3 linked regions of the Cricetulus griseus genome follow. The protein of the gene in region 2 purifies or fractionates together with the protein of the main gene of each other region. This does not show direct contact. Links are inferred from orthologs where the notes say so. Each region holds a gene or a part of one and is shown on either strand. Other genes may lie near its edges.

Region 1 (6,016 bases), on a different chromosome or scaffold from region 2:
TCATGGGGGGTGGAGTGGGAAGAAGGTGGGGAGGAGCAGGGCTGCAGGGAGAGGGAACTGGGATTGGTATGTAAAATAAGACTTTTAAAAATGAAAAATAATAAAGAAAAACATTAAAAGGCAGTGGGGGGAGCTAGCACAGGTCAAGTTGGCCCCAGCCCCTTCTGGAGATAAACCTGGTAGACAAGAGTACTGGGATGGAAGTAGGCCCACCTGTGCCAGCTCTGCTTTTGCAGCACACTAACTATAAAGCACAGAATAAGTGACAGCCTCATTAGTGTCATGGAGCTGGAATGATGAACGAAGACATTTCCAGAGAACCTAGCACACCAAAAATGTCAACAAATGGCTGCCCTTTCTCTAATCATTAATAATAACAGGGGCTACTTTATGGTCATGATCGTCATGATCCACCAACCAGTGTTTTCAAAATGTGGTCAGGGCACTGTAGGTGCCAGAAAACCTGAGGTGTTTGTTGACCAAAAAGAAAAAGAATCTATGTCCCACCTATTCATAACAGTTCTCTAAGAAGGTACTAGATAATGTTATTTTCCCAAACTTCAAGCTGCACGTGAAATGTAAGCTTCATTGATCCTGTACCCTGTGCTGTGCCACACAGACTGGTGTCCGTCCACACGTACTCTCTCCTGTGCCAAGAGAATGACCTAGTGTCTTAAGTATTCTCCTGGATATAGACATACCTTAATAGGTCTGTAGGGTTTTGGTCAATTTCCCATGTGTGTCTTTTCCACAAATGAGTATATCTTGAAGTGTGTGTGTGTGTGTGTGTGTGTGTGTGTGTGTGTGTGTGTGTGTATGTGTGTGAGAGAGAGAGAGAGAGAGAGAGAGAGAGAGAGAGAGAGAGAGAGAGAGAGGGCGTGCGTGCGTGTATGTGCATACATGCACATGACTATATATATATTTCCCCCTTTGTCCAGGAGTAAACTATGGCCTTGTATGAATTCAAGCTCCAGAGAGTACACTTGGTTAAAGATCTATTTGGAAAAAAAATGATCCAGATGATAAGATGCCCACAGTCTGAAAGGGCCATTCACAAAAAAGTCTGCCAAGCATTCTATAGCCTACAATTGTTTTTAACCGCTTCTTACACAGTTTACTTCTATGGGAACAAGAGTGTGACTTAGAAGAATAAAAATGAACTGCCCCAACAGAGATTATACTAACACCAAACATACATCTGCTGGATAATGATCAAATTGTGCTAGGGTAGAGCCAAAACTTCTGAAATCCCTGGAGGTAGAGGTGGGAATAAACTAGTTAAGTATTCATTACAACTGACCTTGAGTAATTTTATAGGAAAGATGACTTGAAGAATATAAAGCTTCATAAAAGTAAATACCCCTACTGCTTACAAATGCACTTCTTTGTTCCAATGTGCAGGATACACACCCTTGCAAGGAGAAATCAAGTCAATGCAAAGTACTTCAAGAGAATTAAACAAAAAGGGGTTAGCTGTATTAACATCATAGTCTGAAGAGCATAAAGGTTCTTTACCAAGTCCCCCATCTCCTGTTGCCTGCCATCCAGTCCCTATCTCCTTTGTGTACTGCTTGCCTCCATGTGTATCTCCCTTCACACACAGTGTGTGCACAAGGGCGTGTGCACACACGTCATAGATGACACTGCAGGACAAGCATTTGATTTGGTGTGGGAACAATTGAATTTATGACTACCCTATCCTCAAAAGCACCAAATGTCCCATATTAAGATTTTTAAATAGTAATCTTCCCTTTCACATTTAAAGAGCACTAATGTCCACAGTTTCACGTTTTAGACCAGCTAAAAGTGCATTACTCTTGTAACCCAGCCAATATGTAATTAATTCTACAAAGAAATAAAAAATCTTTCTAGGAAGGGACACAGGAAATGAAGTGTTTTCATTGTATGAAATGCATTGTGGACACACAAATCACCAGCACTATAAATAAATAAAAGTTGCATGCGTGCTTGCCTTACACCACATAGAAAACACTAGTACATTTGCACACCATGGCATTTTAGCCTGGGTTCCTGAAAAACACTGTGTAAATACAAGGGACTGTGAACGTGTGTGTGTGTGTGTGTGTGTGTGTGTGTGTGTGTGTGTGTGTGTGTGTGTGTATGTGTGTATCTGGTGTGTCAGGGAGAGGTTGGGAAGCACGAGGGACGGCACTTGCCTTTTGGCAGCTATTTAAGAAAATTCCTTTTCTCTCTCATTCATTCTTTCTAGCCTCAGTGTCTGGCAAGGTCCTTACAGTTACTCACTGGCTTTTCATTCTAAAGACAGCCGACATGCTCTTAGAGCTTCCTATGGTGTTATTTTTTTCCCACACACTTAAAAAAAATCAAACCATTCAATATATGTTTTGAAATTTTTTAAGAAAAGAAAATCATTGGCCTATTTCCTCACTTCAGAGACCCCTTACATATCTGGCTAAATGTGATCCTTTGTTATGCGTCCAAAAATATCTCCACCACATGATATTGGAAAATAATAAATTATTCGTATTCCAAGGATGTCACAGCTATTACCATTCATTTGCTTTACCTTAGTGAGTCGATGTCACACTCCTCTTACTGAGTCCTACACGCTTGCCTTTTTCTCTGCGAACACTCCATTAATAAATTTAAGGGCTGAAAAGAGGACACCAAGCGCCCTTCATGCACAATGGCACTCTCCAAGACTGAGACATCTCCAGCCACGGGAAAGTTAACCTTCCAGCAAGATGCCCACCCCAAATCGGCCAAGGAAGAAAGGTGACAGAGGGGCTGCGGAGCGCAACCTTTCATTTCTCCACCTCCAGAGAAAGGGAGGGCTTGGCAAGAGAGCGGAGTAGGAAGGTGGGCGAGTGGGAGACCGAAATGGGTGCCGGGGTGGGTGGGTGTGGGCGGGATGGGAAGATAGAGAGTTCGGGGAAGGTGGGGAGCTCAGCGCAGGGTTCGAGAGCAAGGCGGGGTTGGCGAGCGAGACGGGCGGGCGGGCGCGGTGGTCAGGGCGCGAGGGGGCCGGTCCTCACCATTGAACGCCCCTGCTTCCGCGGCCTCCTCCTCCTCGCCGTTTTCGGAGTCGGAGCGCATGGGCTCCTCAGCGAAGTTGACACCCTTACTGGGGGCGCCGCCCCCGACGGCGGCGCCCGCGTTCCCCCAGGTCCTGCCCTCATGGCCGAAGCAAGCGGCGCCCTTGCGCTCGTTCTCCTGCTGCAGCCGCGTGAAGTGCTGCAGCGCGAACTCCAGCAGGTCGGCCGGCTGGTGCCTCAGCACCTCCACCGTGAAGCCCTGCAGCAGCTCCGTGAGCCCCGCGGGGATCTCGATGCTCATCCTGCCTGTGCACGCCCCGGCGCCTGGGCGCCGCCCTCGCACCCTGTCCGCTGTCCGGTCTCAGGCTGCGCGGCCCCGAGCGAGCGCCCCCGGCGCTACCGGCTGCGAACGCGGCGCCCTGGGCCCCTGGCGCGGCTGCTCCGTGCGGCGGCGGCGGCGGCAGAGCGAGCACAGCCCGGGAGGGTTGGCAGCATCTCCAGCTCCTCCCGCTCCCTCTCCCGCCACCACTGCACCGCCCCACGCCCGGCGCCCCGCCCCCGCCCGCGCGCCCACGTGATCCCCGGAAACCATGGCAACCCGGCAGGCGGGTTCAGCGCCACTTGCTAAGTGGCCTCTGGGTGGAGGCAGCGGGAACCTAGGGCGTGAGGCCGACAGCTCTCAGAGCAGATCCTGCGCATCATTCTGCCCAAGCCCTCCCGGAGTTGGCGTCGTGCAATTTGTTCTGAAACTTCAGCCTCCACCTTGGTGGTGGCTTTTCTTCTCCTAGAAGCCAACAGTAAGAGAAATGTGCATGGTGTCTTTTGTTAAAGTCACACAGCTGTACTGGTTCTCTTTTGGATACAGGAAATATGGCTACTTATTTGTTACAACATTTTCTTTCACTAGGTTTTTTCCCGCTTTTCAGTCACCTGGCTGTGATGGTCAGCTTGCTGTGCAGATGTTCTGCCACGGCATGCTTGGTGCATTTCTTGCTAGTTGCTGAGACAAAGGCAACATTTATTTATTCAATTTTTATTAATTTGTTCGAGACCAGCCTGGTCTACAAGAGCTAGTTCCAGGACAACCTTCAAAGCCACAGAGAAACCCTGTCTCCAAAACACCAAAAAAATAAATTATTATTATCAAGCACCCCTCCCTCCTCTCCTCCCACTCCCTCCCCATCCCGTCTGCTCCTCGGAAAGGGTAGGGCCTCCCCTAGGAAGTCTACTAAGTCTGTCCCATCATCTAGTTGAGTCAGGACCAAAGCACCTCTTCAACCCCACCCCGTTTCTACGCTGGGCAAGGTGGCTCTCCATATAGAATGGGCTCCACTAAGTCAGTCTGTTTATGCATTAGTGTTAGGTCTTGGACCCATTGCCAGTGGCCTCATATATTGTCCCAGTCACACCATTGTCAACTATATTAAGGGAGTCTAGTTCAGTCTTACGTAGATACCCCATTTGTCAGACCTGAATAAGTGATCTCTCACTGGCTCGGGTCACCTGGTTTCCCCATCATGGTCTTGACTCCTTTGTTCATATTATCACTCCTCTCTCACTTTGATTGTACTCCAGGAGCTTGGCCCATTGGTTAGTTGTGGATTTCTGCATCTGCTTCCATCTGTTTCTGGAAGAGGATGCAAGCTCCTCTGGGGTTGTGGATTATAGGCTGGGTATCTTTTGCTTTATGTCTGGTATATTTGTCTTTCTGGTTTTGGGTTACCTCACTCAGGATGGTTTTTAGGATGCCATTGTTTCTTAACACTGAATAGTACTCCATTGTGTAAATGTACCACATTTTCTTTATCCATTCTTCAGTTGAGGGGCATGTAGGTTGTTTCCAGGTTTTGGCTATTACCAATAATGTTGCTATGAACATAGTTGAGCAATGTCCTTGTTTGGTGAGTGTGCATCCTTTGGGTATATGCCCAAGAGTGGTATTGCTGGGTCTTGAGGTAGGTTGAACCCTAATATTCTGAGAAATTGATATACTGATTTCTACAGTGGCTGTATAAGTTTGTACTCCCACCAGCAAAGGAGGAATGTTCCCCTTTATTCCACATCCTCTCAAGCATAAGCTGTCATTGTTGTTTTTGATGTTAGCAATTCTGATCAGTGTAAGATGGGATATCAGAGTGGTTTTGATTGGCATTTCCCTGATGACTAAGGATATTGAGCATTTCCTTAAGAGTCTTTCTGCCATTTGAGATTGTTCTGTTGAGAATTCTCTGTTTAGATCTATACCCCATTTTTAAATTGGATTATTTGGTAATTTGATGTCTAGTTTTTTCAACTCTTTCTATATGTTGGAGATCAGCCCTCCATCAGATATAAGGTTGGTAAAGAATTGTTCCCATTCTGTGGGGAGCCGTTTTGTCTTGTTGACTGTGTCCTTTGCTTTACAGAAGCTTCTCAGTTTCTGGAGGTCCCATTTATTAATTGTCAATCTGAGTGTCTGTGTTACTGGTGTTAAATTCAGGAATTGATCTCCGATGTTCAAATGTATTTCCCACTTTCTCTTCTATGAGGTTCAATGTGGATGGATTTATATTGAGGTCCTTGAACCATTTGGGCTTAAGTTTTGTGCATGGCGATATATATGCATCTATTTGCTTCTTCTACATGTTGACAGCCAGTTATACCAGCACCATTTCTTGAATATGTTTTTTTTCTGTTTTATATTTTAGCTTCTTTGTCAAGATTAGGTGTTCATAGGTGTGTGGGTTGATATCGGGTCTCTGATTTGATTCTATTGGTCTACCTGTCTGTTTTTATGCCAATACCAAACTGTTTTCATTACTCTATAGTAGAGCTTGATGTCTGGGATGGTGATGCTCCCAGATTGTACAGGATAGTTTTGGCTATTCTGTTTTTTTTTTTTTCCATATGAAGTTGAGTATTGTTCTTTAAAGGTCTGTGAAGAATTGTATTGGGATTTTGATAGGGATTGCATTGAATCTGTAGATTACTTTTGGTAAGATTGCCATTTTTACTATGTT
Region 2 (5,477 bases):
TGTGAGCTGTGAAGGTGAAGGCGTGAGCTGTGATGGTGAAGGCGTGAGCTGTGATGGTGAAGGTGTGAGCTGTGATGGTGAAGGTGTGAGCTGTGATGGTGAAGGTGTGAGCTGTGATGGTGAAGGTGTGAGCTGTGATGGTGAAGGTGAAGGTGTGAGCTGTGATGGTGAAGGTGAAGGTGTGAGCTGTGAAGGTGAAGGTGTGAGCTGTGATGGTGCAGGTGTGAGCTGTGAAGGTGCAGGTGTGAGCTGTGATCGTGTAGGTGTGAGCTGTGATGGTGAAGGTGTGAGCTGCCATTGAAGCCTCAGCTTTTATGGCTGTTAAAGGCTCTTTAAGGAGAACTTTTTTTTTTTTTTTTTTTTTTTTTATCATCTGCTGGGCTGTTCTGGGAACCACCACCTTTCTGCAAGTGGTTCCTTTCCCGCCAAAGTGCACTTGTGCCTGCAGTTTGGCGAGTTTTTCCTGCTTCATGATTGTTTCTTTCATCTTGTCGGAGTGGAAATGGGTCCTCGTGGGAAACTAGGGTTTGAACTCAGGGGGCCTCAGGGAGACCAGCTGAAAAGGCACACACACATGGAGATGCCAGATGGCAGTTTACATCTTTCATACTCTTATATCCTTATTCTAGGAACTGGTACAGAAGCAAGAAGCTAAGGAGAACAACTTGTTTATACACAGTTTGCTTTAATAGCCATCAGAAAGACTGTGTAGCATCCTCTCACCCACCTGTCTGCACAGTATGGCCTTTAACACATGGCCATGGCAACATATTTATCTATATTATACATTTATACACACACCCACATCATATGAGCACTGTGAAGACACACAGTCTTCAGTACAGAACAAGCCTCGCCTATGCCATTAAAAGAGGTACAGGTGTGCTCTATGCTAGACATTCAATAGGTATGATGTGGCCATCAGCCCCCAGTCCCCCTGAGGGAAGTTAGAATTATAGGGGGACAGCACATTTAAGGGAGCCAGTTTAACTTGAGATCATATAAGAAACAGAAGGTGATAGGCTAAGCATGGGGCACCCAGAAGTCACCATGTTTGCTGTGTAGACTCAAAGAACTCCAGTGTGGTAGTATAGACCAAAGTACTACCTGGTTTGGCCCATAGGGCTGGCCTGGGTCAAGAGTGGGTTTGTGAGGGGAGCTTGCTGAACCCCAACACTGTCCAGCAGGGCACTGCCGCTCAGTAGTGTGCTTTTACAACTGTCTGAGGAGCTTTGGTGTTGGAACCACACATCCTATTTGTGGGCAGCCAGGTCCTAGTTCCCCTGAGTTGGCCGTCTTGAGGACAGATGCTGAGGCAAGAACTGTGACGAGGTGGGTGCCATGCCACTGAAGCTGTTTAGAAGCAGGGCCACAAGGCCTTCTGTGCAGTCTACATCAGCTTTGCTTAGTGCCGGCCCAGTGGGCCTTAGCTAATCATATTCACTGCTGCCAGGATGCCACTCTCCTTCCTGCCTGTCCCATGTGGACACATCTCTGAGCCCTTTTCTGGACCTCCAGCAGGGGTGGAGTGGAACCAGGTATTCCTCAGCAGATAGGCAGCTGCACAAGAGAGGGGCAGGCCCACCCTTCCTGCTGTTTTAAGGGCTTCTGGCTTCGCTTCTTGTGGGGCTCCTGGAAGGCAAGGGTCACAAGGCTGAGGTGCGTGGCCGGGCCCTTAAGGATTTCACCTGCAGACAAAAGGGAAACAAATCTAGTCAGAGTGAGTGATTAGACCCTGCTGGAGGCTGGAATGAGAGGCAAATGTGCTGGAAGCCAGGAGTCTGAGAGCTGGTTAGGAGGGCAAGCACGGGGGTGGGGAGTGCTGGCCTGGAGAAGCTCCCAAAGCCCAGATTAGATGGAAGCCTTTCACACTCCCAGATTCTTCCTGCTTACACCACTGGACACTGAGTGGCCAGACCCCATCACTCTCCCTTCAGGAGTCAGTTCATGCTCCAAATCAAGTGGTCTGAACCAAACAAATGAACAGAAAACAAAAAGGCCTTTTGTATCTCTCAAGAAAAGAAGTGCTGAGCAGGAGATGAGCACTCACAGAAAGCCCTCTGTAGAAGGGGGGACATTCAGCAGGAAATCCCCCTGGTAAATGCATGTCCCAGTTATCAGAGAGGGGTGTAGTTATCAGGGCCTCGGAGATAATGTAAGACAGGTTCTACCATAACAGACTTGGGGCAGCAGGCTCAGAGATAAAGGGGCCAGCCAAAGCCACACAGCCAGTTAGTGACAGGCCCTCCCTAGGGGCCTAGGAACTGGAGAGGCAAGCGTCCACAGGCTGGGCCAGCGGTGCTGGAGGCCGCTGGGTTACCTTTGCTGGGACAGGAATATGGCTGCACAGAGGCAATCTTGTAAGAGCTGTGCTACAGGGGCTCGGGAAAGAAAGGAGTCATCAGAGAGCAGGAATTAGACCAAGACAAAAGAGTGAGCGACATCAGGACCCAACCCCCTTCCATGCTGGCCTCTGCACCTGTACTGAGGCAGATGCAATGAGGAGCTGTCTGGGCATCTGCTCAGAGGCTCTGGTAGTGTCGAGTCTATGTTCATAGAATCGTTTCTGATCTTTAACCCATATACCAAGTTTCCCCTCACACTGCTTCCCAGGAAAGGACCAGCACTTAGCATTTGAGGTAACTGTGGAGAATACCTGCCAGGGAGAGAGAGTCTTCCCCCTTAGGGGCAGTGTTGATTTTCACGTTTCCTTCTAGATCAGTGAGACTCAAAGATCATCTGGGATCTTTAAAGAGAAGGATACTCCCAACCTCACAGCAATGGCAGCGGGGTCAATTTGTAAGGTTCTGTCTGCTTTTAGGAAACTCCAGTGTGCACAAATGGCCTCATAGTTGGACTCAAATATCTCTGCCCTCAAGAGCCACCTGTGCTCTGTTTCCCCAGCCTATTCACCCCCCCCCCACACACACACACAGCTACAGTGAAATCTACAGTGAAAGGGAGAGATGAAAACACAATGAGGGCAAGCAGAGAGGTCAGGGAGTGAGGTAGGGTGGGCTTTGCTGAGGAGCCATGGCCTACACTGGACCAGAAACCTCTTAGGATGTCAGAGCTAGCCAGGGGCCCCGCAGATGACAGACAGTGGTGGGTTGAGGGCAGGCTCTGTGGCTGAGTGTGGCTGTGTTGCCCTTACCTCTAAATTAGTCCGTGCTTTCTTCAAGACATCATGGGTCCTGGTCACTGGAAACATAAAACAGCCCACAATGTGGAAATTACCAGCTAAGTCTGGCTTGCTTGGCATATGCGCCCTAAGACACTCTCTCTCTCACTCAATGTGTAGTCTATTGCTAGCCATACCCCCTCCCTCTGTACCCACCATTACTCAGTGTCTTCCCTCAACATTCTCAAGTCCCTCTGGTCACTACTCATCTCTGCTCCCATGTGCCCCTCAGGGACACCTACGGTGGTTCACAATGTACTGTTCCATGTTCTTCTTCTTCTGCTTGGCTGTCTTCAGACGTTCATTAGTTTTCTGTAGGAGCTGTTCCTGCTGGGACACTTGGGCTCGCAGGTCCAGGATTTCTTTCTCTATCAGCTGTCCCTGAGGAAGAGGGATAGACTCAGACAACACTCACAAGGCCAAACACATGCTGTGCTTTGCAGCTCTTAACGGTCTAGCAGAATACTATCCATCTTGTCTACATTTTGTATTGAATTCTCTCCTTTAAAACTTCTCAAATCTTAGCTGGGCAGTGGTGGCATGAACCTTTAATTCCAGAATTTGAGATGTAGAGGCAGGTGGATCTCTGAGTTTAAGGCCAGCCTGGTCTACAGAGCTAGTTCCAGGACAGACAGAAATATGCAGAGAAACCCTTTATCAAAAAACCAAACAAACAAAACTTTCAAATCCCAGCTGGAGACAGCTGAGGACCAGGCCACAAGAGAGACATGGAGAAACCAAAGCCTGCTGGGGAGAGCCTTGCTCTAGGCCAGCACAAAATCCCAACCACAAGCAAGAGCTCTGTTTGGTCCTGTAGAATTTCCTGAACTCCTTATGTCTAGTGACACTTAGGAGTTCAGGGATGTCATATCTGAAGAGGACAGTGGGACAGTTGGAAATATCTGCCACTGTGGAGATGTGAAAACACCTTGAATTAGCGTAACTGGGTCCACAGACATCAGTAACAGTTAGTTGCAGCTGGAACACCTCTAAGGGTCTGCCAACCATAGCTGGAGAGACAAGCAGATTTCAGGAGGTGGCTGGCTTTCCCAGGCTTGAGCCGGAGATACCAACAGAGCATGGCTATAAGAGGCTCTCATGTTCATGGTGACATTCTATGATCTTTTGATCAGGTGGACCTTAGGGGTGGAGGAAGAATGCCATATTGTCAATAGGTTTCTTGATAAGCTTGGCCAAACTTCAGGGTACAAGACTGGACATAATCTGGGTGTCCAGGCTGATTATGTCTACTTCCTATATTCTTTCCTTCTCTTGGATGTCTTATCAAGAGTTGGAAGGTGAGAAAAGAATGTGTTAGAGCTGCAGCAAGGCAGCCACGTTGGCTCAGAGGTCTTCCTCCACGATGTTCCATGAAGAGCCTGTCCATCCCAACTGCCATATAACCCTTGACCATCAAGAAAGCTGGAGGAGTTGGGAGTAGGGCCATATTGGCATGGAAAAGGCAGGTTTTAACCAGCCAAAGACCCAGCCTCTTACCGCTTTGCCTACCAGTCCTGGCCCATGCTGGCTTGGCAAGGCTGCTCTCCAGAACATGGTGAGGAGAGATGCCGACTCTTCCAGGGTGTGGTTCAGGGCACTGGTGCTGCTCCGCAGCTCACGGATGCTTTTGTTACCTGGTACCTGGAGAAAGAGGGCAGGTACCCCCATCACTGGGGCATCCCATTTCTCCAATCACAGAGCTCAAGCTTCCTATGTGAACAAGCACAAGACACAGACCTGGTGGAAACCTTGGCTTTTCCTTACATTTCCAGGAAAGCTGGTCCCTTTGCCTGGAACCCTTCTCCCAGGATGTCCTACCAGCCTTCAAACCTCATTCTTGTATTACATCCTCTACGAAACTGTACCTTCCTTGTCTGTAGTGCAATCTTGGAGGGAAGCTCCTCACGTGTGTCTGTGGCACCTTATTGTGCATATCAACAAGCGACTCTATCTTGCTCTTCAGTAGTGGGTCCTTATAGACCAAGGCTGTCCTATGCAAACACCCATGAGTGGCCATTTCTCAAACAACATTGTCACTTGTGCCTGCCCCTCTTGACTACTAAGCTCACTAAAGAGTTTCACCGGCTGCCTCCCCTTCTCTGCTTAGTCTGCAGGGAACCTTGCATTATCAGCTTTACTTCCCTTCCGTATGTGCAGGTTCATGTGAATGCCAGTCCACCAGGTTGACTTTAATCTAGTTAGACATGGCTTCATGCCAGCATTCCTATTACAGATAAGCTACCAAAGATGCTGAACATAGTGACATGGTAATCAACATTTCACAAGTGCTCCGCTA
Region 3 (6,225 bases), on a different chromosome or scaffold from region 2:
ATGTCACTGTGGATGTATGCACAGGAGTGTGCAGACACACCTGGAGGTGAGAGGTTAGCCTGGAGGCCATTCCTCAGAAGCCAGCTGCCGTGGTTGTTTTCTTTTGTTTGAAACAGGGTCTTTTTTTCTTGGGCCTGGGGTTTGCAGATTCCGCTAAAGTGGCTAATTTGCCAGCTCCAGGGATCTGATCTCAGCCCCTCTAGCACATATCACCAAGCTCAGAATTTTGTATGTGGGGTCTGGGAATCAAACTCTGGCCCTTTACTAACTGAAGAACCACAGTTCTCCTCAAGCCTCACAGCCCAAGAAAACCTTGGATCCAAGCCAGCCCTCTCACTACCATCAAGCCTTCATCCGATTTCACCCTCATGTCCTCTTTTCAGACCCTTTCTCCTGGCATCCATGATGAGGACACATATACTGTGCTTATGACTAAACATTTCCTTCCAGTATGCTCCTAACATGGCAGCAAGTACTTAGTGACCATGTGCTAGAGCAACCCATGATTCAGAAAGCTTGGGCTCAGGCCTCAGGACACTCACAGCTGAGCACAGACAGACTCTTGGCATGTAAACAAAGAGCTGGACTGAGGGCTACAGTGTTGAGGATTCTGTACAACCAACAGTGTGCATGATGGTGTTCATTTAAGAACACAAACCAAATTCACATTTTCTCCAGTATATGCCAAGCGCTTACTATGCACACTTGTACTTCATCGGCACAGATATCAGTAAACCGAGTATACCAACAAAGAGAAACTGAGGGTTGGAAGGGAAGTGACTTATTCAAAGCAGCATAACCAGCAAGGGGCTGAATGAGGGTTTTTACAGTCATCTGTGCTATCATATTGACTGCCAAGCACAGGTCTTTCTACATAAAAAGATGCAGAAGTCTTAACTGGGGCAGGATCCCTGGGTCCAAATTCCATGGGGATAAAGCTGCTTGAAACATGCACAAGGATTAGGTTTGGAGCAAATAGTGTATCCTTACCTAAAGAAACAAAAGTTCAAGGACAAACTGGGTTCAGTTTAGGCTGTAAACATGGGGCTTGCAAATTACCAAGAGAAGGTTGCTCAGAAAGCAACATACTAAAATGAAAATGATACTTTATCATAGGAACTATTTTCTCCCATTGTGGTTACCTAATGGAGACCCATCTCCACCCACCCACCCCTCCCACCCCCACCCCCCGGAATATTTCTGATACATACTCTTGAAGGGCCAGTTCAGTGCCAGAAGCTCAGTAAGAGCTCCTGAATACTCACTTTGATTAGTTCAGACCATCCAGAAGGCAAAACAGGTTCTGGAATCAGGAAACTTGGATTTAAATGCTGACTTATCATGAACTCTTTATGTGACCCCAGACCATTTGTTTTAGCTCTCTGAGCTTCAGGGGTCCCACGGATAACAAGGAGACAAAAGTGGCCCCTCAGGGAATCATTTCTCACAGTGACTTAAAGTTCCTGTTCTAAAACGAGTTTCCATCTCATCTGGTGGCCATATGTTAATAGCCAACACCTGTATCATCCAATACACAGGCCATTAACTAGAACTTGAAACGCAGTTTGTCCAACTGAGAAGGAATTTAAGTGTAAAAACTCATACCAGATGTCAAAGATTAAGACTGAAAAGCATAAAATACCTCATCAACAAGTTTTCTTATAGATTTTTCTAGAATTATATATGGAAATCTCAAACTAAATAAAGTATGTTATTAAGTCACTTGCTCCCAATGGTACTGCTGCCCGGTGGTAAAGCACTTGCTGAGCACATGTGAGGCCCCCTGTTCAACCTCCAGCACCATAGAGAAAGGAATTTTACTTGCTTCTTTTTATTTACTTTTTTTAATTGTGACTACCAGAAAGTTTTTGTTCTTGTTTTAGTTTTTAGAGATAGGGTTTCTCTGTATTGCCCGGGCTAACCTAGAACTGGTTCTGTAGATCAGGCTGGCCTGGAACTCTGAGGTCCACCTACCTCTACCTCCCCAGTGCTGACATCAAAGGTGAGCACCACCATTCCTGGCTTACAAGGAAGTTTTTAATTAAATACACACCACAGGTCGTATTTCTATTGGACAGTGCTATTGGGCTGTCAACAAGGTTCGGACAATGACAAGCGAGGGTACCTGGAACAGTCCAGTCAAGGGTGGGAATATCAGTGAGGGTTTCCTAACAGTGGAAGATGTTAGGCAAAAGATAACTGGAAGATAAGGCAAAAGGTGTACAAAGGACAACTGAGGCAGCAAGAACAGCAAGTGCACAGGCCCAGCAGCAAGAAACACAGCAAGATCATTCCTGACACTGAGCTTGAGCTTGGCAATCAGGCATAGGGCAAAGACAGGGTTGGGAACCAGAGAGAGACAGTGGGGGTGAAGCAAGAGAAGCAGATGCAGCAGTCTATGGAGAAACATGGAAGCCACATTACAGAACTTCATCCTGCAGACAGCAAGTTGCCTGGAGGGCCTAGAGTAGGTTAAGATTCGAATTACCAGAAATGAATGCAGTATCTGTCCTATCAAGGCTGGGAGAGGAAGGAAAGGAGAGTATTAGCAGATCCATTAAGTTAGACACTGTGCTAGTTTAGTTCCCTTGCCAACAACCTATTCCAAATGTCCAAAATAATCTAATTTCTGGTCCCAAGGGCTTTGGATAGAAGACACAACTTGTAGCAGTGGTCATGATGGTAACACTGATCCCCCTTCTCAACACTGTTGTGTCAGCTGCTGCACTTGCCAAGAGAACTGCTGGGCAGCCATTGTTTCTTTTCATTCTCATCCAATTATGGTGAGTGCATACGTGCGTATTACCATTAGCCCATTTCACAGAGCAGAAGTCAATTTACCAAGGTCACCCACATTGTCACTTTTTTGGGTGGACCTAAACCCAGTTCTGTCCATCTTCAGCCAAGGATCTTAACTCCTGCACTGATGCCTCTGTCCTGGGAGGCTACTGTGCCCGCCCCCAAAGTTTAAAATAACAACTACACGCCCCATAATGAATGCAAACCCCCAAACAAAAATTATTCACCAAGTGCCCTAGGGTCCCGGTCCCAACCCAGCCCCTATTAATAGAAATCCCAATTAGTCCCACCTCCTCCCCGTCTTTCACAAAGTCCCTTACCTATCCTACACATTCTCTCAAAGTATGTTCCAGAATACCACAGACGAATGTGGAGCTGGCTGGACACCCCCAGGTCCTAACACACGCAGGCAGCAGCAGGGACCATCCTCAAACAAACGGAAGGCCTCACGGGAGAGAACCACCATCAATAGGAACCCCAACCCAGTTACCATGAACCCCAAAATCAGGGCCACACCTGCAGCCGCTGAGGGTCACAGGCAGGGTGATGTCCTCTTCCATTCCCGAGTCCATTACTGAACACCGAGATGGTGGCACCGGTGTCTGCGGAGGCGCCACTGGTTCCCCGAGCTGTGGCGACCTGCTCGGTTCCCCAGGTCCCGCCCCTTCCAACCCAGCTCTTGTTCTCAGTCTAGCGGCGCCACTGGAATTCAAACCGCAGCCGCCGCCATCTTTTCCTTGCTTCTTCCTACGGAAACAGGGCGGGGTCATCTGGCACACGGGGTGAAGCCGCCCTGAACCGGCCTGAAACCGGGCAGGGAAAGCATGAGTGGACGCCATCTTAACTCAGGGCAGAATCTTCGCTCTTGAACCTGTAATACTAAGAAAAGAGACGCTGGCCGCCATTTTTTATGTGTGCGGGTACTCGTGATGAAGCCAAGGCAGGGGCCATATTTGTTGAGGGTGAAAATCCGCCCTGGTCAGTTAATTTAAGCGGGAGGTGGGACAACTCATAGTGTCTAATTCTGTTTGCTGTTCTATAATCATGACTACACACTCGCGCCTTGGTTCTTTTACTCAAAAGACTTCTGCCTTATGTTGAAACTCAGATAATTGAGTTCTACCTCTATTTAGAAAAATACCACCTGTGGAGCGCTAGTATAAGCAGTAATTTACAGACTGAGTTTGATGCCTCATACCTATAAAGGGGTCAGGCATACTTCATGTCAAAGCTTTCAATGAAATTTGTTACCGTTAGAACTCATGCACCAACAATCAGTAAACTGAGACCCGGGGAGAAGAAATATTCAAGTTTACTATCCACCAAAACCAGATCCTTAGCTTCTGGCATGGAGATCTGGGTCCTCTGGAGCCATGTTTTAACCTTCCTGGAGAGAACGAAGATATTATGAGAAAAGCCACTGTGTTGCCTCTCAAATTATGATCTTTACAAAACTGGAATTTCAGCTATTCCTCCTTGGAACCCCTCCCACTCTCAGAGTTTTTTCTTCACTTTTCTTTAATAAATCTACACAGGAGTGAGAGAGAGGAACTTAAAGTGGAGTGGGGGAGAGGGAGTGAGTGGGGAGGAAGAAAAAGTAAGGGAGAGAGGGAAGAGGAGAGGGAAAGAGAGAGGGATAGGGAGGATGTATGGATGTGGAACAGTGGTCCCTAGCAGTTAAGTATCTCCTACTGCCAGTTTGTTTGTTTTTGTTTTGGCTGGGCCCTCAATAGTTACAAGGCTGTTTGTACTGCACAACACTAGCTCCAGACCTGCTATATTCTGTGGTTCTGGGGGAAGGAGTGGGTGTCCATGACTGACAAGCTCAAGTGCTGAGATAATGGGGCTAGTACCTAACCTACAAGGTTTTTGTAAGGATGACCTGAGATATCTTTAGGAATTCTGTCAGTAGTAATTCTGTCAGTAGTAATATGTTCACATGTTCATATTCATTCCCATTCCTCCATAACCTCAAATACTCTTTCTTTGCAAACTGGCAAGAGTCAGAGCTGTGATTTGAGCCCAGATGCCTCTGAACTCCAATGTCCTAAAAGGTTCAGACAGGCCATATTCCCCAAGTGTTCAGTTCTTTTTCCATCTTAGAACTTACAGTTGAGACATGAGATCTGTGATTGCTGGAAGAGGAGGTGTCATTATCTTCCATGGTAAGTTGCACATACTCCAATGAATAACCCCCATCCATGCTCATATAAGCAACCCTATTTAAACTTAGTGGGGAGAAAAAGGACAGGAAAGTAAGAGACTAGTTGGAAAGAACAAAGGAGTCATCAGGAGTGCATGAGAACAGAAGAGCGCAATGTGAGGTGATGAATATGATGATAGCAAACTGTATGTATGTATGTATGTATGTATGTATGTATGTATGTATAAAATGTAACAAAAACAGAAATCAAAGAAAGACATAAAGTCTAGTGTAGATAGCATAGTACTTAAATGCTATAATCAACAGATTCTATTCTTTAAGGAGATGTCTCAAGGTGGCTGTGATAGGATTTCAGGAGTGTGGATGCCTAGATTCTAACTACAGCTCATTTTGTAACCTCTTCCCCTTTCAGTTCTTTTGCTTTCCCACATACAAAAATGGAGTAGAGAACCATAAAGAACCCATAGGAAGTTCCCATTCATTAATCCCTGTCCTATTCAGTAGGCCATATTTGTGGGTTATGAGCTTAAACTTTGATGAAACTGAAAATAGAATCAATTATACAAAAGAAAAACTGTATCGGAAGTTGTTTTTCCTGCTACTGTAGCATATTCATGGTTATAGACAGAGAGGCCATTGCTCCGTTTTTCTCATTGTGGTTTTTCTTTCTGCCAAGCCCAGAAGTGACATCATTCCCATCAGCTGTTTGGGCTATCTGGAGCCATCTCCTTGACAACAGCCATCCAGCCACAAAGACAGCATTCTTACTTCCTTGGATGAGGGCATTCTGCATGGCTGGAAGTGGTTTGTGTCCAGATGCTTTTGATTTGGCAGGAACCCTCTCAAGTTGTAGCAGTTCAAGACAGTAGAGTTGCTATTACTAACAGCAAGAATAGTTTTTTACATGTTAAAACATTCACATCGCTCTTTATACTGGTCCATTTTTTCATCCTGACACTATAGTGTAAGTAGACTAGGATGATTGCCCTGCTCCTCATACAGATGAGCAACACTACAGTTTGGATCCAACATTCTACATATCAAATTTTGTTTACAAGCCTGTGATGCTATTAGGAGATGGAGGACCATGTGAAATCATTTGTAGGTTCTAACAGTGGAGCCCAACCTCTCAGGTGCCCTTGATGGAAGAATAGTTCTCCTCCATAAGGGAAGGTTGTCATCTTCAACCTTTTTGGAGCCTGCAGCTTCTGGAAGGACACACATGAAGCAGTGAGGAGGAAAGGGGGCACCAGCTTAGCCAA

What was found. The genes of interacting proteins can lie anywhere in the genome.
Region 1: the proteins of myomegalin (region 2) and Prkar2b purify together in Homo sapiens (affinity purification with mass spectrometry; 4 studies listed by BioGRID and IntAct, counting the BioPlex papers as one, with this or other methods). This does not show direct contact. The link is inferred for Cricetulus griseus from reciprocal best matches to the Homo sapiens genes PDE4DIP and PRKAR2B.
Region 3: the proteins of myomegalin (region 2) and Cdk5rap2 purify together in Homo sapiens (affinity purification with mass spectrometry; 3 studies listed by BioGRID and IntAct, counting the BioPlex papers as one, with this or other methods). This does not show direct contact. The link is inferred for Cricetulus griseus from reciprocal best matches to the Homo sapiens genes PDE4DIP and CDK5RAP2.

What each region holds. Positions count from the first base shown.
Region 1 is NC_048598.1:169,643,556-169,649,571, forward strand, and holds the start of Prkar2b (cAMP-dependent protein kinase type II-beta regulatory subunit), read right to left. Parts: upstream 3,549-6,016; 5' UTR 3,319-3,548; coding exon 3,018-3,318; intron 1-3,017. UniProt on the Homo sapiens protein: Regulatory subunit of the cAMP-dependent protein kinases involved in cAMP signaling in cells. Type II regulatory chains mediate membrane association by binding to anchoring proteins, including the MAP2 kinase.
Region 2 is NW_023276806.1:58,785,921-58,791,397, reverse strand, and holds the end of myomegalin, read right to left. Parts: intron 4,892-5,477; coding exon of another isoform or gene 4,883-4,891; exon of another isoform or gene 4,868-4,882; intron 4,823-4,867; coding exon 4,679-4,822; intron 3,563-4,678; coding exon 3,424-3,562; intron 3,202-3,423; coding exon 3,155-3,201; intron 2,373-3,154; coding exon of another isoform or gene 2,321-2,372; intron 1,689-2,320; coding exon 1,647-1,688; coding exon of another isoform or gene 1,546-1,646; 3' UTR 666-1,545; downstream 1-665. UniProt on the Homo sapiens protein: Functions as an anchor sequestering components of the cAMP-dependent pathway to Golgi and/or centrosomes.
Region 3 is NC_048595.1:75,831,385-75,837,609, reverse strand, and holds the start of Cdk5rap2 (CDK5 regulatory subunit-associated protein 2), read right to left. Parts: upstream 3,549-6,225; 5' UTR 3,372-3,548; coding exon 3,316-3,371; intron 1-3,315. UniProt on the Homo sapiens protein: Potential regulator of CDK5 activity via its interaction with CDK5R1. Negative regulator of centriole disengagement (licensing) which maintains centriole engagement and cohesion. Involved in regulation of mitotic spindle orientation.